Linked DNA regions of Stegostoma tigrinum. The protein of the gene in region 2 interacts with the protein of the main gene of each other region in a pairwise test. Links are inferred from orthologs where the notes say so. Each region holds a gene or a part of one and is shown on either strand. Other genes may lie near its edges. The genes, in order: RCC1 and BTB domain-containing protein 2-like, fars2 and appl1.

What was found.
Region 1: the proteins of fars2 (region 2) and RCC1 and BTB domain-containing protein 2-like interact in binary tests that used the Homo sapiens proteins (3 or more experiments, as listed by UniProt). The two-hybrid records come from large-scale screens. The link is inferred for Stegostoma tigrinum from reciprocal best matches to the Homo sapiens genes FARS2 and RCBTB2.
Region 3: the proteins of fars2 (region 2) and appl1 interact in binary tests that used the Homo sapiens proteins (3 or more experiments, as listed by UniProt). The two-hybrid records come from large-scale screens. The link is inferred for Stegostoma tigrinum from reciprocal best matches to the Homo sapiens genes FARS2 and APPL1.

The regions. Positions count from the first base shown.
Region 1 is NC_081365.1:72,566,456-72,576,425, forward strand, and holds the start of RCC1 and BTB domain-containing protein 2-like, read left to right. Parts: upstream 1-5,737; 5' UTR 5,738-5,864; intron 5,865-9,970.
Region 2 is NC_081355.1:11,435,308-11,445,489, reverse strand, and holds the start of fars2 (phenylalanine--tRNA ligase, mitochondrial), read left to right. Parts: upstream 1-6,023; 5' UTR 6,024-6,176; exon of another isoform or gene 6,177-6,348; intron 6,349-10,182. Other genes in the region: LYR motif-containing protein 4, read right to left, coding at 5,927-6,012. UniProt on the Homo sapiens protein: Is responsible for the charging of tRNA(Phe) with phenylalanine in mitochondrial translation.
Region 3 is NC_081364.1:53,768,975-53,779,125, reverse strand, and holds the start of appl1 (DCC-interacting protein 13-alpha), read left to right. Parts: upstream 1-5,837; 5' UTR 5,838-5,899; coding exon 5,900-5,953; intron 5,954-5,974; exon of another isoform or gene 5,975-6,056; intron 6,057-6,350; exon of another isoform or gene 6,351-6,440; intron 6,441-10,151. UniProt on the Homo sapiens protein: Multifunctional adapter protein that binds to various membrane receptors, nuclear factors and signaling proteins to regulate many processes, such as cell proliferation, immune response, endosomal trafficking and cell metabolism.

The DNA.
Region 1 (9,970 bases), on a different chromosome or scaffold from region 2:
AGCACTGTCAGTCCAGAAATGCCCAACACGGTTCATAACATTTGTTCTAGATTTGGCAGATAAGAGAAATTGACATCCTGATTTGTGGACATGTTTTTTGAGGTTCTGATGTTTGGAATTGTCCAGAGTAGAGACAGAGTGGAGGCCATACCATCAGAACTGCCACCCTGGTCTGAGGTAATCACCTGGGTCAGTGTGGAATGAGCCATGTGGAAGAATGTCCAGTATTGGCCTTCTCAACTTGGCCAGAATAAGAGCAACCATATTCTCACTGCTACCTCACACACTATTTCTGTTTCTGCATTCTGCTCTCAGAAAGGCTCAAGTTCTCCTTCTCTCATTACTGCAAGCATCATTCTCCATCGCTCACATACACCTACCCTGAGCCCTGCATGGCATCTACTCTGCAAACACACTTGTTTGGCACCCATCAGCACAAGATCATATGAAATAGGAGAGGGCCATTCAGCCCTCAGACCTGCTATGCCATTCAAAAGGATCATGGCTGATCTGATGTTCCTCATGTCCACTTCCTTACCCTTTCCCTGTAACCCGTGATTCACTGACTGATCAAGAATCTATTTCTCTAATCAAGAATCTAGTTCCAAAGATTTTCAACCCTCTGAGAGAAGAAATCCCTCCTCATTTCAGTCTTAAATTGGCTCCCTTTTATTCTGAGACTATGCCCTCTGGTGCATGACTCTACCAAGAGAAGAAACATCTTCTCAGTACTTACCTTGTCAAGCCCTTTAAGAATCTTATGCTTTAATGAGATCACCTGTCATTTTTCTAAACTCCAGTGAGTAGAGACCCAACTTGTTTTGCTTTTGCTCATAGGACAATCCCTATTTAACAGGGATCATCCGAGTGAAACTTCACAGAACTGCTTCCAATGAAATGACATCTTTCCTTAAACAGGGGACCAAAACTGTTCACAGCACTCTGGATGTGATCTCCCCAGCACCTTGTACAGTTGCAGTAAGGCTTGTTTGCCCTTATATTCTTGAAGTACGAGCCAACATTCCACCTGTGTGCTAGCTTACTGTGTTCCATGTACAAGTACTCCCAAGTCCAGGGTTGCAGTATTCTGCACTTTTTCTCCATTTAGCTAATAGTCTGTTCAACCTTCCAAAATGAGCATTTTCCCACCTTATACTCCATTTGCCAACTTTTGCTCACTTAATTAAAGTATAAACTGTTTGTATCCCTCTCATAACCTTTCTTTCCCGTTATTTTTGTGTCACCTCCAAATTTGGCTAGTGTACATAGGCTTCCTGCCTCCAAGTGATTAATATTTATTATTAATTATTGATTAGTATGTATTGTAATGTTAAGCAGAAATGTATAAACAGGCAAAAGTGTATTTGAATATATTCTCCTTTTTAATTGCATGGACAAAAGTACTTTACACTTATGTTTCCTTGCAGCTTTTTTACTTGATTCTGTGATGTTCTAAACTAACCTGACTTGCTACACTTAACAATTCTTTTCACCAGCACAATGCAGTGAACTGCCCGATGGACATTCTTGTACCAGTCACATCCTGCCAAACTGATGCCAATGAAGGCCAGTCCTTAAGCTGCATCAGACATGCTGTCAGCACTATGTGGAAGACAGCCAATGTGTTATTGAGCAAACTGCCAATTTACTTTCAGAAAGTAATCCAGTCTGTTCTTGGCCAATCAACGAGTGTAATATTGAATGGTCAGCTACTGGTCTATTGAGTGATCAGTTAGTGTACTATCAAATAGTGGTCACTGAGAGTGTTACCAGCTCCCCATTCCACCAATCACCATTCGTTAAAATTCACTTCTGGGACTTCATGGTTTAATAAAACTATTTTGTTATCAAGAACTTAATTACATTGTGCCCACTGTAAGCCAGCAGATCCCAAACTGTGAAGTGACTGCAAATAGGCTTACAGAGTAAGCGGAAGGACTGCGAATCAGAGCATCCAGTCCTGCTCGATGTTCACACCATTAACAAATTCAATGTGTGAGTCATTGATTTACTCTTTCCCCATTTTATCCTTCTCCCATTTAATCTTTCTAATGGATCCAATCTAACCTTCTGTGGTGTGATTCCTGGAATTTACTTTCTTCATTTCAAGATCATTTAGATAAGTCATGTATGCAACTTACTTTAAAAACAAAGTTGCTTGAAAAGCTCAGCAGGTCTGGCAGCATCTGTGAAGGAAGAAAACAGAGTTAACATTTCGGATCCGGTGTCCCTTCCTCAGGACCCGAAAAGTTAACTCTGTTTTTTTCTTTACAGATGCTGCCAGACCTGGTGAACTTTTCAAGTAACTTTGTTTTTGTTCCTGATTTACAGCATCCGCAGTTCTTTTGGTTTTCATTAGGCAACTTACCAATGTGAGTTTCAGTGCCTTAGCCCATATTGGAACCTGGTGTGCACTGAAAAATAGAATGGTGGGTCAACATGCCATTTGATCTGAAAAAATTAACTGGAGCCTGAGGAGAAGTTGTTCTTACATCTTGATTGGTGATGGAGGGTGTGAGGAAGAGGTAAATTAGTGAAGCTGTAACCTTTATAACTATTACTTAATACAGTCTGAAACAGTTTAATCCCAGAAACCGAAAGAACTGAGGATCCTCTAAATCAGAAACAAAAACAGAAGACGCTGTAAAAGCTCACCTGGTCTGGCAGCATCTATGAAGAGAAATCAGATCTGAAGAAGGGTTACCGGACCCAAAACATTAACTCTGTTTTCTCTTTACAGATGCTGCCAGATCTGCTGAGCTTTCCAGCCACTCCTGGTTTTATTTCATTCTAGAATCAGTTTATTCCAGTTGGATGTAGAGGAATTGACTTTATTAGAACTGTAAGTTTTAACAAAAATGTTAGTAAAGTGTGATTTTTTTTTAATTAGGTAACAGTAACGGGAGAATAGGGTTGGTGACTCACTCACAGACCAAATCAGGCTGTCGTACCTGCTGTATTTTGCTTCTGATTTCCCAAGATAGCTGAACTGTGTGGAATGAAAGAGGCTGATTAAACGAACATGCCTGTCTGTATGTATTACGGAGGTGACAGCAGGGCAGATGTTGGTAGCTAATCACTCTGTTTTGATGCGGACGTGGAGGAAGAAGGGCCTCACTAAATTTTCTGTCGTCATATGGTATGCTTGGCTGAAACCTTGGGCAGAATCTTACACTTCCTAGCAAAAGCAATGGTGAGAAAAGTGGGAAAATACAATGATAAATAATTCCCAAGATTTTCGACTTCAAGAAAGGCTTGTCTGATTATTAGCTCAAAACTCAAAAAGCGACTTCAGAATCTCAACTTTGAGTGTTAACTCCCTTATTTCCATGCATTTGTCTCATTAAAATTCCAAACTGCACTATTTTTTCCTGTTTTACCAGTGCTCCACTGAGAAACTAGATGGAAAAATTCCTGACATATAAATTAGAGCAGATATCTGGCAGCTGCTGCTTTCTGAATGCTTCTCCTGGTTATCATGCAACAGCTTCTTCCAGAACAATGCCCCTCATTCACCATGGCCACCATTCTCCTTGACTCTTCACCCATACAAGTCAGCATCAATAAACCAGCGGCCTCAGCACAACATCATGCTTGCTCCCGGACAGCACTTTGGACACTTATGACTTGCACACCTCTACCAGGTTGCTTTGGGTGCAGGGAAATGCAGCTGTACAGGATGCTTTGACACTGACACAAACAAACACATCTTATAACTCAGTCGTTTCTTCATGTTCACGCATTTCACTTACTTGGTTCCTGTCAGACTGTTTACTTCACATTACTTTCTTAGTGCACACTAACCAATGTCAGCACTGACTTACAGGCTATCAGATGTTGTGATCTGCTTTGCTTTTTAGCATGATGTGAGAGGCTGGCAGCTAATGACATTGTGGAACACTGAACAATCAATCTTCAATCGGATAGAGGGTGGACATGTCACTTTGCTACACCATGCTATGTCAATATCAGAGCTGTCGCATGTATCAGCAATTTATGCAGTAAATACATTGCCCTTTGCTTGAAACACACAAGGTGTGAAAGTCAAAGGAGATCAGTCTTTAATGGGGTCAAGGGCGAAATAAGTCATTAGCAGGCTCCACATAATTAACTTACATTACAACCGGATTGTCGCTGTCAATACGATGCTTGTTTCTAAGAGAATCTGGAGATCAGTGTCTTTGCAGCCCAGGAATTCAAGTGAAACTGTCAGGATTACAGGTATATCAGAAGGGACACTACGGAGATGTCAGTTGAAGGACGGTGAAACGGTCAGTCAGGGATGTTCTACCAAACAGGTTTGGGAGTTGGCAATGGTCAATCCTGGGGATTTGGCCTGTAATGGTCAGAGGACTTATCAGGGGTAGATCATGGAGTCCTGGGCATGCCAAGCAACTCGAGGGATGGCTTCATTGTACTGGATAACTGAGGGAATGATGACAGTCATAAGAAGCAATCAGAGATCATAGTGAGTAGGAGAGGACTGGGAGATCTAGATGGGAGATTTCAAACAGGTCATGGTGACTCTGTCCTTTACATAAGGTGTAGGTGCAAAACGGCAATCCTCTGGTTTATTACTGAGCATTGACATATTGCACGCATTTTTCTTTCACGTTGATGTTATCCTTAACTTCCCTGGTGAACCATAGTTGGCTTATGCCAAGATTCCTTCGTCCTCAATGGGATATATACTTACTGTGAGCCATGAACTACTTTGCTTAATGCCTGCGGTTGTTCGTCAAACTTATTTTTAAACCTGAATTCCTGTCCAGACCAGCTAGCTCTGCCTGGATTCATTTGTGTTTAAGATAACAAGGTGTAGAGCTGGATGAATACAGCAGGCCAAGCAGCATCAGAGGAGCAGGAAGGCTGACATTTCGGGCCTAGACCCTTCCTCAGAAAAACCCTATTTCTACTTAGCAGTTTTGCACTCTGAAATTGAATGCTAAATTCCACCACGTATGGTCACCGTTTTAGGTTACCCACAATCATTGCACTGCCTTTTTGACAATCCCTCATCATCTTCTTATTTATTTTCCGTTCCACTGCACAGTTATTGTTTGGGACCAATAGATTATTCCTAGCAGTGCCTTCCTCACCTAGTTATTTCTTATCTCCACCCATGTGTATCCTATATCTTCTGATCGAAGGGCATTTCTTGCAATTGTGCTTACTCCATCTGCTTTCCCAATATTTAATTGGAGGTTATTCCTTCACATCTATTTTTCATGTCAAATGAGCAGTACAGTCGTTTAGCAGCAGTGTGGGAGATAAAGTAAGCGGTTGGTGCAACTAGTCGAAAATCGTTCTGAGATGTAATAAGTAATTCACGCTAAAAAAGTAAGAAGCAGAATTTACTGTCACGTCAAATTTATATCCGTATTGCAACCCAGCCACGGTATGTTTATCCCTGGCGCTGAGGTGGCCTCTTTCCAACTCTCTTGAGGGATTTGTTACACCTCTGAGTTGAGCAGCACGACCCTCCTGTTTTGAATCGCGTGTAATACAATGGTCATGCTCTTGTCTTAAAAAGTCAGGCTCCCTGCCGCTGCTCCAGCGTCGCTGACGGTGGCGGATGTTGCTGTCGCCTCATGCACTGCCCCTCGAAGCCGCTGATCCGTCAGTCCTTCAGCATGGACATGTCGCTGGCTGTTCGTCTCGAGACAGTGACAGTTAGGATTCGAGCGCTCGGCTCAACGCGGTAGCATTCCAAACCCGGCGCGTGAGGGCGGCTCTTGGACCCTGATTGGTCTCTGCAGTTTCACAGGACACTCGATTGGTATAGCCTTGGAAACAGGAAGAGTAATCGAGTCGATAAACGCTTTTGGGCCTGTCTGAAGCTTGTTTGTTTACGTGGTCCAAATGTAAGTTTTGTAAATGCGGGATGTACAATTCCTCTGGCTGACAAAAAAAAAATCTTTTGCTCAATCTGCTTAGTAAAGATACAGTATAGGCTTCCATAAAAGAGCTTTCAGAAGCATAAATATTCTGTTCATATTGTAATCGGCAGAAGTTATTATTACTGTGTGGTTGAGAATTTCTACCTGTCCTAATATTTTCTTCATACATTAAAAGCTTACTAAGATCACCAGGAATAAGTGATAAAGATCACCAGGACATGTCTAGCCTCCGCGCAGCTGCCAGTGTGTTCTAGAATGTATGCCAAGTATAGAATGCAGGCTCCGCTCATATTTGGCCATGGCTGAATATGGCAATGGTCAAATGCTAGTGTTTTTCGAAGTAGTAGCACTATATCCTTGAAAAATTTTAAAGTGGAGATAACTAGCAACCTCCCTCAAAAAAGAAATCCAAAGTAAGCTTATCTCCTAACCCTCAAAAAAACATCTTTCTTGACGATTAATGGTTTTGTCTGGTAATAGAATCGTGATTGTAGCTAAATGATTGGATGCAGGGCTTTTGGGATACTGTTTGAGTATGCTTCTCAGTAGACAAAATCCTGTAGTTTGATGCTTTTTGGATACTTATTATTGTTCCTCAATTAGAGAATGGTGTGTATATCTGCATCATCATGTACTGTCTTAAATGCAACATATGAACCTGCCTTCACTACATTTCAAGGCAGTACATTCCATACCCTAACTGCTTGCTGTGAGAAATATTTCCTTTGTGCAGCACTTTAAATGTATGCCCCCTTCTTCTTTTTGCTTTTACGACTGGAAATGTCTCCTAACAACTGTGTCCAGTCTGCTCACGGTGTCAAAGAACTCTATCAAATACCCACTCAGTTTTCTCTTGAAGGAGAATAATCCCAATTTCTTCAACATGTCCTGAACTGAAGTTTGTCATTCCTGGCGCCATTCTTGTAAGTTGCTTCCACACTCTCTTCAGCGTGCTTACATCTTTCGTACAATGTGGCATCTACAATTCTACATAATAGACCAGCTGAAGTCTAACAAGCAGTTTGTACAAGTTCAACATCACCATCTTGCCCCATTGATAGAGTCAAAAACACACTGTTTTATTAACTGCTCCTCCCAGCTGTCCTGCAACCTTCAATGATCTGCGCACACATACTATCCAGGCCCCTTTTCTCTCCTGAACTCATTATAGAATTGTACTCCCTAATTTGAATCATCTTTCAATGTTCATCCGACCAAAGTACATCACATCTCATCTCCTCTTTAAACATCACATTTCAGATATTGCATCACAGAAATGTTCTATGATCAAGGAGATGCTGAGAGGTTTTCTGACACGACCACAATTTCATACCATGCACTGCTTATCCAAAATCTTAAAATCTATATTCCTTAGCCTTTGTACTGTCACCTAATGAGAACAGCTTTTCTTTATGTGCTTTACCTAAACCTGTCATAGCCTTGTACGCTTCTATCAAATCTTTCTTGCTGTCAGGCAACAACCTCAGCTTCTCCAACATAGCCTTGTAGTTAAAGTTCTTAGAACATATCCTTAGAACCATTCTGTTAAATCTCTATGCTTTGTCAAGGACCCTAACCACTTTCCCCAAATGTGGTGACCAGAAATAGATGCAATGGGAGGGAGGCATTACTGTCTTTTTTTTGACCATTTTTGCAAGCCTTGGGGTCGAGGTGCTGCGGGTTAAATCTAATAGTGGGCCTAGATGAACACTAGCCTTGGTTGAGGAGGGTGAGCAGCAATAAGGTAATGGCAGGGTAAGATCTTGTTCGTTTCTACTATGTTGGGTAGTTATTAAAAGGGCAGAGATGACAATCAGTGGAGTGGTATGCTCCTCCTGTCCAAAGTGTAAGATTAGCGAGTGGTCAAGATTCCCTGGCGACTACATCTGCAGGAAGTGTGTCTGTCTACACCTCCTCTAAGACCAAATGGATTGGTTGGTGCAGCAGTTGGACACACTGAAAAGCATTCATGAGGCACAGAATGTGATAGATTGTAGTTTCAGGGAGGTGGTCACACTGCAAATTCATGCAGATAGACGGGAGACTGCCAGGAGAGGTACGCAGGTAGTGCAAGAGTCTTCTGTGGCTATCCCCCTCTCAAATAAGTGTACTATTTTGGATACTGTTGTGGGGGAAAACAGCAGCAGGAGCCTGGTATTTTGGCACCACGACTGGTTCTGCAGTAAAGCAGGATATGGCAAGGTGCAAGCGAGCAGTTGTGATAAGGGACTTTCTAGTCAAGGCACAGACAGCGTTTCTGTGGCCGTGAATGAGGCTCCAGGATGGTGTGTTGCCTCTCTGGTGCCAGGGTCAAAGACATTTTTGGAGTGGTTGCAGCAAACTCTCAAAGGAGAGCATGAGCAGCCAGAGGTCTTTGTACACATTGGTACCAACAACATAGGTAGAAGAAGGGATGAAGCCCTGCAAAATGAATATAGGGAGTTAGGCAGGAGGTTAAAAAACAAGACTTCAAGGCTAGTAATCTCTAGATTACTCCTAGTGCCATATGCAAGTGAGAGAGGGAAAAGGGGGATAGGGCAGATGAATACGTTGCTGAGGGACTGGTTCCGGGGGCAAGGATTCAGATTTTTGGACCGTTAGGATTTTTTCTGGGGCAGAAGTACCCTGTACAAGAGCGAGGGGTTGCACCTGAAAGGGAGGCTTCAGTATCCTGCCGGGGAGATTTTCTAGCACTGCTCTGGAGGGTTATAAACTAGTCTGCCAATGGTGTGGTACCATAAGCACTAGTGAGACGAGAGAAGGTTGAGACTGATGCAGAAGTTAAAGGGAACATAGCTAAATAGATAAGCCAGGCAACAGCTCAGCAAGGAATTAAACTGATGAATTAAACTACAATTATTTCAATGTAAAGGGCCTGACAGGTAAGGCAGATGAACTCAGGATGGATGGGAACGTGAGACTGGGGGATCGTAGATATTACTGAAACATGACTGAGCTGCCAGACCTGTCCGTCGCTCAATGTTCCAGCGTACAGATGCTAGAGGAACGCTAGAAGGGGAGGCAAGAGAGGAGGGGAAGTGGTGTTTTTGACTGGGGAAACAGCACGCCAGTACTGTGATTATTCCTGGGAGATTGTCCAGTGAAGTATATGGCTGGAATAGAGAAATAAGGAAGGGACGATCACTTTGAGATGGGATTGTACTGTAAGCTCCTCAATAGTCAGTGGGAAATTGAGGGGCAAATATGTAAGGAGATGGCAGATAGCTGCAGGAATAATAAGGTTGTAATCAGGTTTTAACTTCCCAAACATAGACTCCAATTTCCTCCCACAGTCCAAAGGTGTGCAGGGTAGGTGGATTGGCCATGCTAAAATTGCCTATACTGCCCAGGGATGTTATGTTGGGTGGGTTAGACATGGAGAAATGTAGGGTTAGGGGAAATGGGTGTGGGTGGGATGCTGTTCAGAGGGGCGGTGTGGACCTGTTGGGCCAAAAATCGCCTGTCCCCACACTATAGGGATTCTATGAAACTTGACATCCAATTTGCACAAACAACAACAACAGTATTTACAAATCATGAGATAAACAACCTTTTTTTTGAAGCGAGAGATAACAAGACCTGCAGATGTTGCAGTCAGAGATAATAAAAAGTGTGGAGATGGAGGAACACAGCAGGCCAGGCAGCATCAGAGGACATTTCGTCAGCTGCTCCTCTGAAGCTGCCTAGCCTGCTGTGTTCCTCCAGCTACACACATGTTTTAAAGTAATGTTGTTTGAAGGATTAATATTAGCAGGACTCAAAAAGAACTCACCAGCTCTAGCGACTTTACTTACTCTAGCCACATGAAGGAGCAGATGCAACCTCAATTTGTGGCTGGAATCCTGCCAACTTGGTCAGCATTGAGATCGAACCCATGACCCGTGTGTCATTTGCACCACACTCTAGCCAGCTGAGTTAACCAACCTAAAGTATAATTGTAATTATACTTCAAAAATACTTCCTTGGTCTCAAAGACCTTTGGGACATGTTGGGATCTTGAAATAGAAGTTTTGTTATTCTTCAGTTAGTTTGAGTGCAGAGGCCATTCCTATGTGTGAAGTTCATAATAA
Region 2 (10,182 bases):
ACTTATTTTTCTTACTCTTTTCCTTTTTAAGTAACTGTAGAAATTTTAGGTATCCATTTTTACATTTTGTAGTTTGCTTCCTCTCATTCTTTGTTCACATTATTCTGTGCCTTTCTTCACATTCAGGCAAAATCATCTGATTTTTATTAGATTACCTTCTGAGAAGGGATTGGACATGCTGGTCCATTTTCATTGCAATTTTGAAGACTGAGGGGTGATTTGATTGAAGCTTAAGATCTTGAATAGTCCTGACAAGGTGGATGTAGAAAATACATCTTCACTTGTGGATCCCTTGCAAATCCAGTTATATTGCAGATCCACCTATCGAGTGGTGCCCTTACTCGAGATCTTGGCTTAATCCTGTCACATTACATAATAAAAAGGCAAACAGTTCAAGCTTTCTAGCTGACATGTCAGATAACCCTGTATATTGAGGATCCAATTGCTGTTGTCCTGCAGCTATGTCTCTGTAATGGTGATCAGATCATATTTTAGTTCAATACTTGTAATGAATTCACTATGTATACAGCCTTTAGTTTTATATTTTCGTAAATTTTTATCTTGATTGTTATCATATTCCATTTTTTTCCCCTCGTTTTCCATTCCTGCCATCATTGCACCCTCGTTTCTCATAAACTATTTTACTCTCTAACCTTCTATCTAGTCTTTAATATACGACATCTTTCCAATTTTGATCCCTTACTCCAAATGGGAAAGCAGAGTAAATGAAGGTGAAATGTCACTAAGTACATGAATGAAACTAATTCTACAATAGTGTTGAAGTTGCTTTGTGTTCTGGAAATCAGTCTATTCATATTGCAGGGAGCAGGTGCACAGCAATTGCTTTAAAGTTTGGCTAATGGGCTTTTTCCACATTTATCGTGAGAAGTACTTTGAGGGTTTTGAACCAAAGTGGAGTTATGCGAGAGGATAACACTTCAGTCAAAGGATTATGTATTCAAGTCCACAACTTAAGCACATAAGTTTAGTAGTGAGAGAATGGTGTACTGTTGGAGAGACCATATTTTGGATTTGGTTTTAAACTGACACCAGTGTTGCCTTTTCAAGATGGATAGAAAAGATCCCACAGCACAAGTCACAGCAAACTACCATTTAATTATCCACTGAGATGGGAAAGGACACAAGAGAAGAGAAAACAATAGTACTAACAAGTCATTAATGAACATAACCTTGTTCCTAGAATCTAACATATTGATGCAATTACAGCAAATCAGCAAACACCAAAGGCGTTATAGATTATAACTGCTTTTCAGCATCAGGGGTCAACTTCCACAATTAAGCAAGTTTAAAAACAGCCTTATTTATAAATGCTGTACTCCAAGATCAACCTGAAGTCAAGGGAATTAGTGTCCTTCTTGCACCTTGAGATGGTACAGCACTGCAGTGTTGCAGAACAATGATTACACATGAGCAGTACAATAGATTTCCTGGGAGATAAAAACTAACTTAATAAAAAGCCTTAAAATATACTGCAGTAGGATTGCACTGGGAAGAAGATTCAACCATCCAGATCACATTGTGACTGTAATACAAAGAACTTTCATAACTTACTTTGTGATAATGTATGTACAACACTTAATCATAACCAAATGAATCATTAAAGTGTAAGAACTGGAGGAAGCATTATTTCACTGAGCTGGATAACAGGCATTGAGGCCAAGTATGTTCAGCCTTTGATAAGGTTGATTGCAGAGTCAAGCAGGACAATATTCTTGTTTTGCATACTTACATGTTAGATTTTCTTGATTTTTGCAGACAGACACTAAATACCTTTGTTCTTCCACAGCCCCTTATCCCTCACTGATGTGGAAGTGCTGGTGTTGGACTGGGACTGACAAGGTCAAAAATCACAAGACAGCAGGTATAGGCAAATGAATGATCAAATGAAAAAGTAGAGCACAGGAACAGGCCCTTTGGCCTTTCAAGCTGGTGCTGACCATCATGCTGTAATTAATCTTAAAAAAAACCTGCCATTTTTCGATCTGTATCCCTCTATTCCTTCCCTATTCATGTACCCGTCTAAGTGCCTCTTAAATGTTTTCAATGTGCCCACTTCCGTCACCTCTTCTGGCAGTGCATTCCAGCTGCTATCATTCTCTGTGTGAAAAACGTCCCTCGCACATCTCCATTAAACTTAGGATTTAGGGTTAGTGAATCGGTGTTCCCTTTTTGGGCATTGAATTGAGTTCGCTCAAATAGGGTGTGCCTTGTGTAATAATGGCTCTTTCAGAGGTTAAATTTTCCTGGTGTGGAAGAAGTCACTTGGGGTAGTTTACAGAAGGTGTGCAACTTTTGGAATTGGCAGGCAAGTTGGAGTTGAAATTGCGTTCCCCATGAGGAAAGGGGAGGTAATTGCAGCAATAGCTCGATACTTACAATTGCCAGAAATGCAATCGGAAATTGTAAATGGCTAAAAATCAATCACAACTGATGCAGCCTGAATATGAAGATCGAAAACAGATGAAAAACAAATGAGAAGAAAGGGAGACTTTTTGAACTTCAGAAGTTGGAACTGAAAACTGAAAGCTAACTTAAAATGGTGGAGGCAGAGGTGAAAGGTAGTAGTGACGAGGACGAAGATGCAGAGCGTTGTAGTCAAAGCCTGGTAGGAATCTGTTTAAATATGTCTAAGCATTGTCCTTTTTGTTGAGCGTAGGCATAGAAGCCTTTTTCATTTCATCAGATCAGCCACGGTATTGCTGATTAACAGAAGCCTCAAGGGACCAAATAGACTGCTCCTGTGTCTAATTTGCAGGTACTGTACCAGTTCTGGTAGCCAAGACAAGGAGGGGAAGCAGTGTGAGGAGACCCCATGACAAGCAACAATATATCATTGACTCCATCTTGAGCTCATCCAAAGCTCCGAAACACTTACATGTCACTGAACTTGGTAAAATTCTTGGCTTCTTATCCAATATCATCACAATATTTTAAAATCTCAATGTATTCAAACGCCTTCAACGCACGTCTTATCTTAGTAATCTTCTCCAGTGCTACAACTAGGGTCTCTGCACTCTGATAATGCTCATGTATCTCAATTTTCATTACACCAGCATTAATGGCCAAGTCTTCAGCTAGCCTAGCTTTCAGCTTTCGAAATGCTTTTCTTGGGACATTGTTCTCTGCTCAGAACAGAAAAACAGGCCATTCTTCGCTGCTCCGACCATTAATAAGATTGTGGCTGATCCTCTACTTCAACTCTGTCTACCTGCACTATTCTTGTATCTCTCAAATCCCTTAATCCTCTAAAAACCTTTCAATATTTATTTTGAACCAGTGCTGTGCATATTCAGCCTCTAAAAGAAAGAATATTCCAAGAATTCAGAATCATTTGAGTAAAGAAATTTGTCATCTCCCTCCTAAATTTGTGACACCTTTTTTGAGGCTATGCTTCTTAGGTAAAGGCACATTGCTGTTAACTGACTTGTCTTGTTTTATTAGATGTTTGATATTACTTGGCTGCAAATAAACTAATGGGTCTTGATCATCAAGAACAAGATGCACTGCAGCAAGTTCCCAAGTTCCCTTGTCAGCACCTTCCAAAACTGACAATCTTTACCACCTAGGAGGACAAGGCTAGCATACTGAAGGACAGAATTAATCTCAATTTGGACCAACAAAGATTAATTAAGGATAGTCAACATGTGTCTGTCAAGGCGAGATTGTATTTGACAAGTCTGATTTGAGTTATTTGAAGTGGTTAATAAGTGTGGAGATGACAGTGGGCAGCTTGTGCACTTTAAATGTACTTCAGTAAATTTTTTGACAAGATGTCATACAGGATATGTCATACCAGTATCCTGGTCAAGAAGGTAAAAGCCCATACACTCCTGTACCACAGGGTTCAATATTGTTTATAGTGCTCATTAATGATCTAGGCATGAATGTAGGAGGTTTGATCAGTAAGTTTACAGATGACAGGAAAATTGGTGGTGTGGTAAATGAGCAGGAAAGCCTTAGACCACAGGATGATACAGTCAGGTTGGTCAGAAGGGAAGAACAGTGGCAAATGGAATTGAATCCAGAAAAGTGAGGTGATGCACTTTGGGAGCACAAACAAGGCAAGGGAGTACACAATGTACTTAGAAGTACAGAGGATCACACAGATTTTTGTTCATGTCACATATCCTTGAAGACAACAGTACAGGTAGATGAAATGGTTAGGAAATCATGGGATACTTGTCTTTATGTGTCAAGATGCTGAATACAAGAGCAGAAAAGTTTTGACGGAGCTGCAAAAGATGTTAGTTAAACCACAACTGGATTGTTGTGTGCAGTACTGGTCACAACACTGTCGGAAGGATGTGAATGCTCTAGAGAGGATTCACCAGGATATCGGCTGGGCTGGAGCGTCTCAACTATGATGAGAAACTAGATAGACTGGGGTTGTTTCCCTTAAAGGACAAAAGACAGGTAGGGGCTTAACTGATAAATACAAAATTATGAGGTATAGAAAGTTCGAAAGGAAGAAAATTCTCCTAGTAGAGGGTTCAGTAATTGAGCAGTTTAGATTTAAAAGACAGGAGGTTTAGAAGGAATTCAAGGAAGAACATTTTCACCAAATTAGTGATGGGTATCCAGAGCTCTGCCTGAATGAGTGGTAAAGGTGCGAACGATCACAACATTTAAGTAGTATTTCAATAAACACTTGCAAGGCGTAACATACAAGGCTATGGGCCAAGTGCTTAAAAAACAAGATGTGCCCAGGCTGCTGTGTTCATCCACCTCTACACCTTGTTATCTCAGACTGCAGAGTCGGCAGCTCCTACTATCTCTGAATGAGCAGATAAATGCTTGATGACCAGTGAGTGTGTGAAGGGCTGGAGGAAATATGTGTGTTGTAAAAGGACTGACTTTAATAATACATCTAAAAGTCCGGAGATTGTATCCTAAATAAAAACAGAAAGAACTGCAGATACTGTAAATCAGGGACAAAAACTGAAGTTGCTGGAAAAGCTCAGCAGGCCTGGCAGCATTTGTGAAGAAAATAAAAATCAGAGTTAACGTTTTTCATCAGGTGACCCCTTCCTCAGCTCTTGTTGTTGCAACTCTATCTTATTCAGCACAAAATCTTAATCAAGCTTTAGTCTGGCATTGGTGACCTACATTCCCATAACAATTAATTGATTGTAAAGCATTTTGATTTTTTTCCAACGATCATGAAAGACAATGTATAAACATATGACTTTCTTGACACTTCCACCTTCAACTTCTCAATCTTGGTTTGAAATCCCTTCATGGTCTCACCCAGTGTTTCTGAATTTTATCCAGGACCCAAAGCCAGAAACACACCTATCCCTGGTCAGGTCTGACATTTTGTGGATCTCCCACTGATCCCTTTTTTTCAAACCTTTCTTTAAAGCCGATCTCTCAGATTTCTGATGAAGGGTCTAGGCCCGAAACGTCAGCTTTCCTAAATAATAAAGTGTGAAGCTGGATGAACACAGCAGGCCAAGGAGCATCTCAGGAGCACAAAAGCTGACGTTTCGAGCCTAGACCCTTCATCAGAGAGCCTAGGTCTAGGCCCGAAACGTCAGCTTTTGTGCTCCTGAGATGCTGCTTGGCCTGCTGTGTTCATCCAGTTTCACACTTTGTTATCTTGGATTCCCCAGCACCTGCAGTTCCTATTATATCAAACTTAAATTCTGTTCGCCGCTTCTAATCTCGCTTTTGCCTGAGATTTTTTTTTCCCGTGTGTGTGTGTGTGTGCGCGCGCGCGCGCGAGCTTTTGATTGCGTTTTTGCCCGTTTTTCTCGCATTAAGAACGGCTACATAAATAAAATGTCAGTGGTTGAAATTAAATTGCGGCTTAAGTGGGATGGAGGAGTGTGACATGGGATTGATAAGCAAAGTACGTAGCAAATATCAACATTCCCTGGCGGAAAACAAAATTACTTCTTTTTACCTATAATTGTAACTGGTGAACTTCTTGCTTTCTTTCAGCATCAACCTGTATAAAGACAGGACCTGACTGCTTGTGGGCACCGCCATCTTCGTTCTTCGGTCTTTACCACGCAGGACCCCGGTGGCTGGGCGCGCGTGCCTGAAATGGAACGTTGTGCAGGCAACGGCTGTCCTGTGGAACCTTCGACCGTTCAGGATTCAAAACAAAACTGAATACGTCCGTTCTGCTTTTGCCTTGCAAAATCCTAAAAGTAGGATCCACTGTTCGCATTCTCTAACACCTTTTATTTTCATAAAACTGTTCTCTCCTCTCGACTGGCAAGACAGTGTCCTACTATTGTCAATTTGTGTTGTTGAGGTGGTGGGAGGGGAAAAAAGAGGTCAAGGAAGGGACGGTGTCACTGTTGTATCTTTGCAAAGAAGGTGAGTTGGTTCGTGAGAAGTTGTGCATGTTAAGAGCACAGGGATATAGAATATGCCCGTGGTGGTTCCTTTTTTTTTAAACAAGGTCATCGTTCCAAAAAGGAGTTCTCTTTTATAATCCTGAGACTAAAATAGAAGGGACGTGTCGGGGAACCACGTCCGGTGTCTCGAGGAATGCAATTCATTGCACAGTTACTTGCTGTTGGGCAGGGTTAATAATCGTTATCAGGTTTTGTTCTTCATGCACGCAACTTTTGAGCGCTCCTCCGATCTCTCATTTTTGGCTGTGACGCAGCCTGTACAAAAAGGACGCGAAACAATGCAGAAACGCCGTTGGTGCTGGAGATCTGAAACTAAAATAAAGTGGATGGCAATGAGCAACGTTTTCACACCGGGAGGCTCATTAGGGTCTGGAATACCTTTTATCTGAAAGAGTGGTAGAGACAGATTCCTCCACGAATTGGGATTTGCAGGATTATGGGGGTAGAGGAGGGTGTGTACGACAAAAGCGGGTAGAAAGATATGTAGAAATGATGTAGCTGGTATGTACTTAACAAAAGGTGACAATTCTGCTTTCATCACAGCACAAATACATTCACTCAACCAGAAATCTCAAGACTAAGGCTACGTCAGATTTTAGACTTTGTTGGATTTCTGGTCAGGTTCTTTGGACTGTGGGTGTTCAAGCCAATTGGATAATATGGAGTACACAAAGTGTGGAGCTGGATGAAGACAGCAGGCCAAGCAGCATCAGAGGATCAGGAAAGCTGACCCTTCTCGACCCGAAATGTCAGCTTTCCTGCTGTGTTCATCCAGCTCTACACCTTTTGTTATCTCGGATTCTCCAGCGTCAGCAATTCCTACTATCTCTGCATAATATGGAGTCAATGTTGTTTGAAATGTGGGAGATGTGTGATATAAACAGACCAGTTTCTCTGGTGTAAATTCTGTGTTACCTTGTTCTTAGTCACATGTATCTTGTACACAAATCAAAGCACTTATTCAAAATATTGCCATTTGTGCTTGAAAAGAGTTTTCCCTTAGAGCTTTCTTATGAGGTTTTGCTTGTCAATAGCTATTTGATCTATAAGTTAGTTAATATAAAATATATGCTGCCTTTTTAATCTCACACAGCATTGGTCACATCTACACAGTTACCACGGCTCTATTGAGATTTTTTTAATGGAGCAGGAATTCTGGTAGTATTGATAATAAGTGACTGCCACCAAGTGAGTTGAGAGGGAATTTGTTTTGGAGTAATAAAATTAGCAATACACTTAGTCTCTATACATTTTTGTACAGATCACTCCATGTCCCAATAGCCTACTGATCTTATCATAGGAGAAATCCATTTAAATCCTTCTGTTGTTTCCAAAGTATGATGAGAAACATAGAGGAACAGGAGGAGGTCATTTGTACCCTTCGAGCCTGTTCTGCTAATCATCACGTTCATGGCTGATTGTCCAACTCAAGAGCCTAATCCTGCTTTCACTCCAACTGCTATATCTGGCTGCCTTTTGAGTACATTCAACTACTTCCTGTGGTAATGAATTCCACAGGCTCATCACTTTTGGGTGAACAAGTATCTCCTCATCTCCATTCTCTGTCTATCCCAAATCCCTAGACTGTGACCCCTGTGCTGGACACGTCCATCAGGAACAGGCTCCCTGCATCTACCCTGTCCAGTCCCATTAAGATTTTAAAAGTCTCTATGACATCTCCTCTTCTCCCCTCTTTCCCCCCCCCCCCCAACTCGCTCATCTGAATTCCAGCGAAAATAATCCTAATCTAGTCAATCTCTCCACTTGTCAGTCCCACCATCCCTGGAATCAGCCTGGTAACCTTCACTGTAGTCCCTTGAGAGCAAGAGTGACTTCCTCAGAAAAGGAGACCAAAATTGCACACAATGTTCTAAGTGTGGTCCTGCCAAGGCCCTGTATAACTGCAACAACACTTCCCTGCTCCTACACTCAACCTCTCGCTATGAAAGCAAACATACCATTTGCCTGCTTTACTGCCTGTTGCACCTACATGCTTACCTGACTGGTGCACAAGAACATTCAGGTCCTATTGCACACTCCCCTCTCCCAATTTACAGCCATTCTGTAGATCTAAACAGTGTAATAAATTATTCATGTGCTGTTTTCACTCAAGTTGTAAATCTGGGACATTCTCATTTCCCAACTTTGATCAATTCATTGACAAAGACAGTTAGATTTAAATAATTACAAGTAGACATTCTCAAAATTGGCAGTCTACAAACCAGAATTGTCCAGAAACTGGGTATTTTTGAATGTGCATGGCATTTTTTTTTTGTTACTCAGTTGAAATTGACTTATCTGGATGATGCATAAATGTATTTGTTAGTTTGCTTGCTCACTAGTTTATTCTTATGTTCCAAGTGACCCAATCTGAATTGGCCTGAACATCCACTGTCCAAAGCAGCAGAAATCCAAATCCAAGATCCAGTACAACCTCAACGGAGTGTACTGTTGAAGGATCCAATAGATGCTTATTTCAACTGGTTATCATGTATAATTATTGAATTACAAACACGTAAGAGTTACAGATAAGTGTTACACTAATGTTATAGCTGAGCATCATACTTGTAGTAGCAATTCATACTTCAAGTGATCTACTTAAGGTGGAGTATGCAGTGTTTATACAATTAGGTCATATTCTATGATACAATGATGATATCACAAGCTCATCTTTTAAAAGTATACTGATGTACTGTGTCTCAAAATATATTCTGATTTTTCAGACTGAGAATAAGTAAGGAAATTATTATTAAGGAAATTATGGATTTCAGCAAGGCGTTCGATAAGGTTCCCCACAATAGGCTATTGTACAAAATGCGGAGGAATGGAATTGTGGGAGATATAGCAGTTTGGATTGGAAATTGGCTTGCCGAAAGAAGACTGAGGCTGGTAGTTGATGGGAAATGTTCATCCTGGAGACCAGTTACTAGTGGTGTACCGCAAGGGTCGGTGTTGGGTCCACTGCTGTTTGTCATTTTTATAAATACCTGGATGAGGGCGTAGAAGGATGGGTTAGTAAATTTGCAGACGACACTAAGGTCGGTGGAGTTGTGGATAGTGACAAAGGATGCTGTAGGTTGCAGAGAGACATAGATAAGCTGCAGAGCTGGGCTGAGAGGTGGCAAATGGAGTTTAATGCAGACAAGTGTGAGGTGATGCACTTTGGTAGGAGTAACCGGAAGGCAAAGTACAGGGCTAATGGTAAGATTCTTAGTAGTGTAGATGAGCAGAGAGATCTCGGTGTCTATGTACACAGATCCTTGAAAGTTGCCACCCAGGTTGACAGGGCTGTTAAGAAGGCATACAGTGTTTTAGCTTTTATTAATAGAGGGATCGAGTTCCGGAACCAAGAGGTTATGGTGAAGCTGTACAAAACTCTGGTGCGGCCACACTTGGAGTATTGTGTACAGTTCTGGTCACCGCATTATAAGAAGGATGTGGAAGCTTTGGAAAGGGTGCAGAGGAGATTTACTAGGATGTTGCCTGGTATGGAGGGAAAGTCTTACGAGGAAAGGCTGAGGGACTTGAGGCTGTTTTCATTAGAGAGAAGAAGGTTGAGAGGTGACTTAATTGAGACACATAAGATAATCAGTGGGTTAGATAGGGTGGATAGGGAAAGCCTTTTTCCTAGGATGGTGATGGCGAGCACGAGGGGGCATAGCTTTAAATTGAGGGGTGAAAGATATAGGACAGATGTCAGAGGTAGTTTCTTTACTCAGAAAGTAGTAAGGGAATGGAACGCTTTGCCTGCAACAGTAGTAGATTCGCCCACTTTAGGTACATTTAAGTCGTC
Region 3 (10,151 bases), on a different chromosome or scaffold from region 2:
TTTACAAAAACATTGAGTAGCTTTGCAACCATCTGAGGACTGGCAACATGACCTGGCTCGGGAAACGGCATTTGATACCCACGGAAAAGTAATACATTTATGCCTTCAAAAGAAACCACAGGATATAAAAGGTACAGTATCTGAATAAACGCAACCACATGGTCGACAAATGCAAAAACTCGACAGCAATGATCAATTTCAGTTCATTCTTTTTAATGACAGCAGTGGTTCATATTCCACCACCAACTCCAATGAATAGCCTGAACACAAATTAATCACAATAAAGTTAATAACAACACACTACACTTAACATTTGAAGTCACCTGCCATACAATCTTCTGCAGAAAATGCAGAAGGAGGATTAGATTAAAGTATAAGTATTCTCCGAAGTCATAGAATATTGTCATTTTGTTTTGAGAATAACAGTGAGGCAATCGGTATGCACCATTATCCCTTACTCTGCTTCCCACACTCCGTTTCTATACTCCGGTTCCTGCGCTCTGCGATACCCTGTTTCCCACACTCTGTTTCCCGTGCCCTGTTTCCCACGCTCCTGTCGCCACGCTCCATTTCCCCATTGACATGTTATTGGGATAACATCCCATTGATTTCCATATTCGCTATAAATTAATGCTCTTTATCTGCTTACACAGAGGTATGCAGACACTGCCTTAAAACTTCCTGCCCAACTGGAATGAGGTGTAAAACTTAGTAAATCCTTATCTTCCTACACATAGGTAGAAAGACACTGCCTTAAGCTTCCTGCCTGAATAGAATTAGGTATAAACTTTGTAAGTCTTTATCTTCCTGCACAGGGATATGTAGAAACTGTCTCAAATAAGATTAGGTCGGAAGCATTTGTAAAGGTGAGAGACTTCTGAAATCCTGTAAAGTATGTAACTTCTGTTTCTGCTAAAGGAGCCAAGGCACTGACTTTTGTTCAAGCCAGACACTTTGGCAACCTGAAATCGCCTCCTGCCATTAGCAGTCACTTCACAAACGATCAATACTGTATCCTGCTCTCTTTATGGTTTCGATGTAGTAATTGTTTGTGCGTCATGTAATTGTCTGATGTAGTGATTGTTTCACGTATCACGCCATTGTGAGATGTAAAATTGCTTTATGTACTATGCGCTCGATAAGGTATAAAAAGCGAGGACAGTCCACCGCTCAGGAGACTCTGCACTCTGTGCCAGGCTGAGTACAGTGATCCTCCACAGCTTGTACTTGCTTTGTAATAAAGGATTTGTTTTTCTAAACAGGCCAGTGTCTTGTTATTGCATCAAGTCCATGAGGGTTTCCCTGCATGCTGTTTCTGCTTCTGTGGTTTTGCATATTTGTTACACATCCACTGTTTCTGCCCTTCTGTTTGCCAACTTCTGCTCGTGCCCCTGTTTCCAGTCCTCTGACTCAGCCCTACCATTTCATCCCAGCTGTTTCAGACCCTCTGTTCCTGCACCTCTCTTGCTGTGCCTCAATTTCTGCCCCTCTCTTTTTCTCATCCTCTCGTTCTACCACTGTTTCTAATTATCTCGGTATGCACCACTGTTTCTTCCGCTCTGTTTCTCATCCTTGTTTCCCATTCTTTATTTCAGCCCCTCTGCTTCAGTTTCTGCTCTTCTGTTCTTCATCCTGTAATTCTGACCCTATGTTTCTCAACTCCTTTCTGATTCGCTGTTTCTGCTCCTGTTTCAGCCCCACTGTATTATTACATTCTTTGTTTTTCATCCTCCCTTCCTGCCCTTCAGTTTCTCATCCTCTTGTTTCTGATTCTGTTTCACATACTGTTTGTACACCTCAGTTTCTGTGCCTGTGATTCCAATCCTATGTTTCTACCCCTCCGGTTTCACATCCTCTGTTTCTGGTTGTCTGTTTCTCATTATCTCTTTCTGCCCCTATGGCTTGACATGACTGTGTCACATCCTCTGTTTCTGCTGCTCTGTCATCTTCTGTTTTTGCCCCTCTGTTTCCAAACTTATGTTTCTGTTACTCTGTCTGTTTCTCATTCTCTGTTTCAGCAGCACAGTTTCTCATCCTCATCTTACGCCCTTCTATTTCTCAAAGTCTGTTTCTGTTTCTGGTCCTCTGTTTCTGCACTTCAATTTGTGACTATTTCTGCCCCTCTGATTCCAAGTCTGTTTCAACCACCCCCCAAGTGGTTGAGAACGCCCTCGACCATGTCTCCCACATTTCTGATATCCATTTCAAGCCTACCGACTTCCCACAGCGACCTCGAACTCTCCCTCCACCGACCTTCCTGCAAAAATACCATCCCCTATTCCCAATTCCTTCGCCTTCACCACATCTGCTCCCAGGATGAGGCATTCCACTCCCAAACATCTCAGATGCCCTTGTTTTTAAAGGATTGCAACTTCCCCACCCTCACTGGTCAAGAACGTCCTCGACCGTATCTCCTACATTTCACCGCAACTCATCCCTCACACCCCCTCCCAACAATAACAACCAAAACAGAGTCCCCCTCATCAACACGTACCACCTCACCAACCTCCGGATCCAACGCATCATCCTCCGACACTTCTGCCATCTGCAATCCAACCCCACCACCAAAAGATATTTCTCCCCTCCCCAACCTTATCTGCTTTCCGGAGGGATCACTCTCTCCATGACTTCCTTGTCTACTCCACACTCCCCTCCAGCCCAAGCACACCTCCCTAATTATTTCAGAATCCCGTTCCCCTCCCCCATTTCTGAAGAAGGGTCTAGGCCCAAAACGTCAGCTTTCCTGCTCCTCTGATGCTGCTTGGCCTGCTGTGTTCATCTAGCTGTATACTTTGTTATCTCAGATTCTCCAGCATCTGCAGTTCCTACTATGTCTCTTCTCCTCTGTTCCTTACTTTATTCCCCCCTGTTTCTGATCCTCTGTTTCTCATCCTCACCTTTTTCGCCATCTGTTTCTGCCCATTTGTTTCCAATCTTCTGTTTCTACCCCTCTATTTCACATTCTGTGTTTCCCATCCTCTGCTTCTCATTCTCTATTTTTCCCCTATGTTTCTTATCCTGTGTTTCTGCCCATCTGGTTTCACATCCTCTGTTCCTGCACCTGTTTCTCAATCTGTGTTTCTGGCCCTTGGGTTTGGCATGTCTGTTTCACATCCTGTGTCTGCCCCCCTATCTGCCAGATTCCTACTGTGCCCCTGTTTCCAATCCTCTGTTCCTGCCCCTTTCTTCCAGGATATCTGTTTCTGCACTGCTGTTTCTTGCCACTCCATTTCCCATTCTGTGTTTCTGTTTCTCATCCTCAGTGCGCCTTTCTCTGTCTCTGCCACTCTGTTTCTCAACCTCTTTTCCTCATCTTACATTTCTGTACCACTGTTTCTCATCCTCTTTTTCTTGTTCTTGAGCGTCATTCTCTGTTTCCATCCCTCTGTTTCACAAAATTTTTCCCTTATCCTCAATTTCTGCGCCTGTTTCAAAACCTCCCTTTCTACGCCTCAGTTTGTCATTCACAGCTTCTCATTCTTTCTCATTAATGTTTCTGCCCTTATGTTTCACATCCTCTGTTTCCCATTCTCTTTTCCTGCACCTCTGTTTCTCATACTCCTTTTTGCCCTTCAGTTTCTCATCCTGTTTCCAATCCTGTGTTTCTACCCCTCAGGTTTCACATCCTGTTTCTGCACCTGTTTGCCAGCTTCTGATTGTGCCCCTGTTTCCAATCCCCTGTTCCTGCCCTTCTGTTTCACATTCTCTCTTTCTCCTCCACTGTTTCTCCTCCTCTGTTTCTGCTCCTTTGTTTCACATCTGTTTCTGCGCCACTGTTTCTGCCCGTTTCTCATCATGTATTTCTGATTCTGTTTCTCATCCTGTGCCTCATTCTCTGTTTCCGCCCCTCTGTTTCTCAACCTCTTTTCTTCATCCTGTTTCTGTACCACTGTTTCTCATCCTCCTTTTCTGCACCTGTTTCCATGTGTCTGTTTCTGCCCATGTTTCTCACCTCTGTTTCTCATTCTCCATTTCTCATCCACGGTTACTACCCCTTCGTATTTCATCCTCTGTTTCTGCTATGCTGTTCCTTATACTGTTTCGGCCCCTCTGTTTTTCATCTTCTGTATCTCCTTTTCAGCAAGAATGACAAACAGGGGGGCAGAAAGATAGTGGCAGAAACTGATGGACAGAAACAGAGAATGACAGAATGCGGGGGGGGGGGGTGCAGAAAGATAGCGGCAGAAACAGAGAATGACAAACAGAGGGGCAGAAACATTCTCTGTATCTGTCCATCAGTTTCTGCCACTATCTGCCCCTCTGTTTGTCATTCACTGTTTCTCATTCTCGTTTGAGAGAGTAGAAATAGGGAATCTTAAAGAGTAAATGAGAAACACAGGATGAGAAACAGAAGCAGGACCAGTGTGGCAGAAACAGAAGATGAGAAAGAGAGGGGCAGAAGCAGAATAGCAGAATAAGTTTGGATCATTGACTGAAACTATAGCATTGTAACTTAGGCAAAGTTCTGAAACTCCCTATCTAACACCAAGTGACTAACTGAATCCCAAAGTGTGTAATAATGGTCATACCAGTGACAGCAACATGCCACAAATAACATTAAAAAGGGCTGTATTACACACAAGGTTGGAGGGAGTGTCCTATCTATAGCAGTTCTTGCTACTCCAAACTTCACATAAATCAAGTTGGAAAGGTTTTGATTGTACTGCAGAAGTTCTGCTCAGGTCGTGCCCTCAGCATGTCCCACAGTGCTCAGAGTACATGAGCTGTTTTCATTAGCACTAAACAGTATATACAGAGAAAGCATTCTGTACAGGGCTGACACTAATTTATGTGGAGATATGTTGCAAAGAATCACAGAAGTGTTACAGTGCAAAAGGAAGTCATTGGCCCATCTTGTCTTAACCAGCTCTTCAAAGGAACATCATTGCTAGTGCCAGCTTCATGCTTATCAGCCATATCCATGCATATTATTTCTATTCAAATAATCATCTGATTTCCTTTTGCATGGCTCAACTGAACCTGCTTCCAGAACACTTACAGGCAGTGCATTTCATACCCTCTGTCTTCTTTGCTCTTAGTATAGCAGACCTGTTCCTTCCTTTTCACTCCGGTATTTCCATACATTTTACAGCTCTTTTTCTGTTTCTGCACCTTTAACAACTTTTGCTTCGGACCTCTGCTTCTGCCAAAAGAAGCAACCATTTTCTCACAGCTTTCCAATTCTAAAGTCATTACAGACCCAAAACGTTAACTGTTTCTCTCCACTGATGCCGCCAGACATCCTCAGTTTTTCAAGCATTGCGTTCCTTTCACAACCAAAATGCTCAGTTTATGAAAAAGCTTTATTCTCAATCACATTTTTCACCTTTGGCAAATCACTTTCAATCTACGCCCTTTCATTCTTGGCCCTTACCTCCCCATCTACTTTATCCAGCCCCTTCACAATTCTTCGCCCTAAAAAGAGAGCAATCCCCCAACTTGTCTAAGTAAGTCCTGCGGAAGTATCACTGGATCTAAAACGTCAACTGATTTCTCTCTACAGATACTGCCGGACCTGCTGAGCTTTTCCAGCAATTTCTGTTTTCCTTCCCAACTTCTGCAACCAGACCTCACTACTGGAACATCTCAGCCCTCGAACCATTCCTGTAGATCACTTAAGCACTTGTAAACGTGGGCAGTAAACCAGAAACTCAACCCACTTTGTCACAAACGTAGCCCCTCGGCCTACACTTCTGAAGAAGGGTCTCGACCCAAATCATCAGCCTCCCGGCTCCTGCGAAGCGGCTGGACCCGCTGCTCACAACGGAAGTTGATGTTGGTGAGTGGCTGTGGAAACAGCCAATCAGTGGGCGAAGCCGACGGAGGCGGGACTTCTCTGACCGAGCCGACATCCCTCGTCGCCTTGGAGTTTGCAGCGAAAGGCGGGGAGGCCGCAGAGATGTTGGGGATCGAAAAACTGCCCATCGAGGAGACCTTGGAAGATAGCCCGCAGGTACAAATCGATGCAGCCGACCCTCCAGTTTCAGGCGGATCGCTGACACTCGATCAGATGTTAGCCTTTGAGCAGGTCGGGCAAAGGCCCACTCACCTCTAATGTAACTCTTCATGTTAATTGGAATGTCCACTGCTAAAGAGGCGTGAGAAACGGTGGTTGAACTGAGTAAAAAAAATCTGCTGTATGATAAGGAACACCTGGGGTGAAACTTACGGGGATATCAGAGACAAACGTTACGAAGGCTGGTCTTGTACTGCCTGTATTTTACTCAAATCTAAAGCGGCGTTTTTCTGGACAACCTCTGCATAATTGTCCGGCCTTTTGCCCGTTTAATTTTTAAGGGTATATCAGTGGGCTCAGGTTGCTGTGATAGCAGTGGCTCATTGATCCTACTGATCTCAGTCAAAAGGTTCACATCCCGCTGGCGGAAACTGGGCGGCCACTTAAAAGCTGGCAATTGAGACAAAGTTCGTTTTGCTCTCAGGTGAGCCTAGATGTCGCATGTCGCTATAGGTGGGGAGTTCTCCTCTAATGTCGTAAGCAATGTTTTACCCTCAACAGCCATCATTAAAAACACATTCTGATTGTAAATCTCAGTGTTTGTGGGATCGTGCTGTGTGCAAGCTGTCAGTGACATTTCCTTTTTATTACAGTAGATTTCCGTGGTTCCAAAAGGCTTAGTGCTGCCACATAAGTAGATGTTTGTTTTTCTGTAGTGAGTAATATGAGAACCTCTTTCAGTTCTGAGAAGTTTCACCAGGCTCAAAACGTTAACTCTGTTTTAAGCTTCACAGATGCTGCCAGACCTGCTGAGCTTTCTCGGCAACTTTGTTTTAGTTCCTGATTTACAGCATCCGCAGTTCTTTTGAGTAGTTTTTGTCAGTTTAGACTCAATAGGTCATAAAGGTTCTGTACTGTATGATTCTATGCTATGCTGAATGACCCTTCTCTGTGCTGAAATTCTAAACTACTCAACTTGCAAACAATAGGGAACAGGTCATGCCTTAACAGTAAACTAAGATTTTTTTTGTTTTAAATATAGCAGCACCAAAATGTTATACTTTAAAGATTATTCAAAATAACACACAGCAAATACAACATTCTGCAGTTAACATATGGGAATTGCCTGGGTGCAAACTGAAGCCATTCTTAGATCAAAAATATGAGGTTCTTATATTACTTACTACAGAAAGACATACATCTATTTATGTGGCAGCATTAAGTGCTTTGGTGCTTTTCAGTTCACAGATGCTGCCAGACCTGCTGAGTTTTTCAGGCAATGTTGTTTTTGTTTCATACACTGGTCCCTCTTGCTATATTTGGCCCATAGCCTTGAATGTCATATCATTAAATGGTCATCCAAGTACTTTTTAAAGATTCTGAGCTTTCCTGTATCAATTACTCTTCCAGGCAATGCATCCCAGATGCCACCACTCCCTGAGTGAAAAAAAATCCTCATACCTATTCTAAATTTTCTGCTATCAACTTGTTATTGATCATTGAACTAAGAGGAACTGATGCCTTCCATCCATCCTGTTCATGCCCCTCAAAATCTTACACCTCTTTCTCTGCTCTAAAGAAAACAACTTGCACTTATCTAGCCTCTCTTCATAACTAAAATACTCCATCTCAGTTAACATCCAGGTGAATGTTCTCTGCACCCCCAATGGTGCAGTCATGTCCTTCTTTCAGTGTGGTGACCAGAACTGCACACAGTATTACTTTGGCCTAACCAAAGTTTTATACAACTCCAACAAAATCTCCCTACATCTATTAATAATGCCACAACTGATAAAGGCAGCTGTTCTGTATGCCTTCACAACTATCATGTTAACCAATCCTGCCACCTTTAGCGATCAGTCTACAAATACCCCACACCCTGCTGTTCCTATTGAGCTTCCTATGTCCATGTCCATGTCACTTTGGGAAAAGCTGCCTGATTTTGTCTCTTACTCCGGCCGCCGCCTTTTAATCTTGCGTGTGAATTTCTTTCAAATGCATGTCTGTTGTGTTGGAATATGATGTGACCACCCTTTTAAGTAGTGCATTCCAGATTGCACAGATATACAGCACAGAAGCAGGTTAATCAGCTAAACTGGCTGGTATTAGTAGTCCATTTGAATATCCTGTTTTATCTAAATATTTCCTGATAACTCTGTATTTACTTCCCCCTTGTATACTTTCTGCCTTCCCTGCAAATAATTTCTGTTAATATCCTCCCTGTCTTTTGCTACAATTTCAAAACCTATTCCTTAATAATCGACCCATTATCTCCTTATTTCTTCTATCAAAACGCCAATTTTAACTACATCAATTGGGTCTCAGATTAGCATTCTTTGTTCTGAAGAGATTATTCCCAACTGCTCCAATTTCTCAATGTATCTGAAGTCCTTGTGGATTATATTACTTGCTGAACCACTTCAGTACCCTGTACAAGGTCTTGATGTCCTTACAAAAGTGTGGTGCCCAGAACTTCATAATACTTAGCTGAAGCCTAGCTAGTGATCTGTGAAAATGTGTTTTTTTTAATTAAATAACACTGTTTGTCAAATCAAGCATGCGTTAAGCTTTTTTAATTTTCTTCTTAACTGGTCCTGCCACCCTGGGAGACTTTGGATATGCATCCCAGGTTGCTTTAATGTTGAGTCCCCACTCTTCAAAACACTCTCTGTTCCCCATCACCTAACAGTTCTTTAAATTAAGTCATCCCAGTATGAATGTGCTCACAGAAAGATCTGGGAGTTCACGCAGAGAGATCTGGGTGTTAGGTCCATTGTACCCTGAAGGTGGCAACTCAGTACGATAGAGTGGTCAAGAAGGCATCTGGCATGCTTTCATTCATCGGAGGGGGTATTGAGTACAAGAGTTAGCAGGTCATGTTACAGTTGTGTAGGACTTTGGTTCAACCACATTTGGAATACTGCGTACAGTTCTGGCCGCCACATTACCAAAAGGACGTGGATGCTTTGGAGAGGGTGCAGAGAACATTCACCAGGAGATTGCCTGATATGGAGGGCACTAGCTATGAAGAAAGGTTGAGTAGATTAGGATTATTTATTATTTACATTAGAAAGACAGAGGTTGAGGGGTGAACCTGTTTGAGGTCTACAGAATCATGAGAGGTATTGACAAGGTGGATAGCAAGGAGCTTTTTCTCAGATTGGGGGACTCAATTACTACGGGGTCACGATTTCAGGGTGAGAGGGGAAAAGCTTAAGGGAGATATGCGTGGAAAGTTCTTTACACAGAGAGTGGTGGGTGCCTGGAATGTGTTGCCAGCGGAAATGGTCGAGGCGGGCACGATAGTGTCATTTAAGATGTATCTAGACAGATATATGAATAGGCAGGGAGCAGAGGGATATAGATCCTTGGAAATTAGGCAACATGTTCAGATAAAGGATCTGGATTGGCACAGGCTTGGCGGGCCAAAGGGCCTGTTCCTGTGCACACCCAGCAGCACATCCAGTAAAACTGATGATACCAGCACACACAGCAGCACGTCCAGTTCCACCGATGATACCAGCACACCCAGCAACACATCCAGTATCACTGATACCAGCACACCCAGCAGCATATCCAGTACCACTGACAGCACCAGCACATCCAGCAGCACATCCAGTACCACTGATGATACCAGCATAGCCAGTAGCACATCCAGTATCAGTGATGATACCAGCACACCCAGCAGCACGTCCAGTGCCACTGGCAACACCAGCACATACAGCAGCACTTCCAGTTACTCCAGCACACACAGCAGCATATCCGACGTCACTAGCACACACAGTAGCATATCCAGTACCGTCGATTACACCAGCACACTTAGCAGCAAGTCCAGTTCCACTGATATTACCAGCACACACAGCAGAACACCCAGTTCCACTGGCAGCGCCAGCACACACAGCAGCACTTCCAGTCATACCAGTACACACAGCAGTATATCCAATACCACAAGCAGTACCAGCACACCCAGCAGCACATCCATTACCACTGATGATACCAGCACACCCAGCAGCACATCCAGTACGAGCGACACCAGCATACCCACCAGCATGTCCATTACCACTGATGACACCAGCACGCACAGCAGCACACCCGGTTCCAATGGCAGCACCAGTACAGTCAGCAGCACTTTCAATTATGCCAGCACACCCAGCAGCACATCCATTACCACTGATAACAGCCCACATAGCAGCAT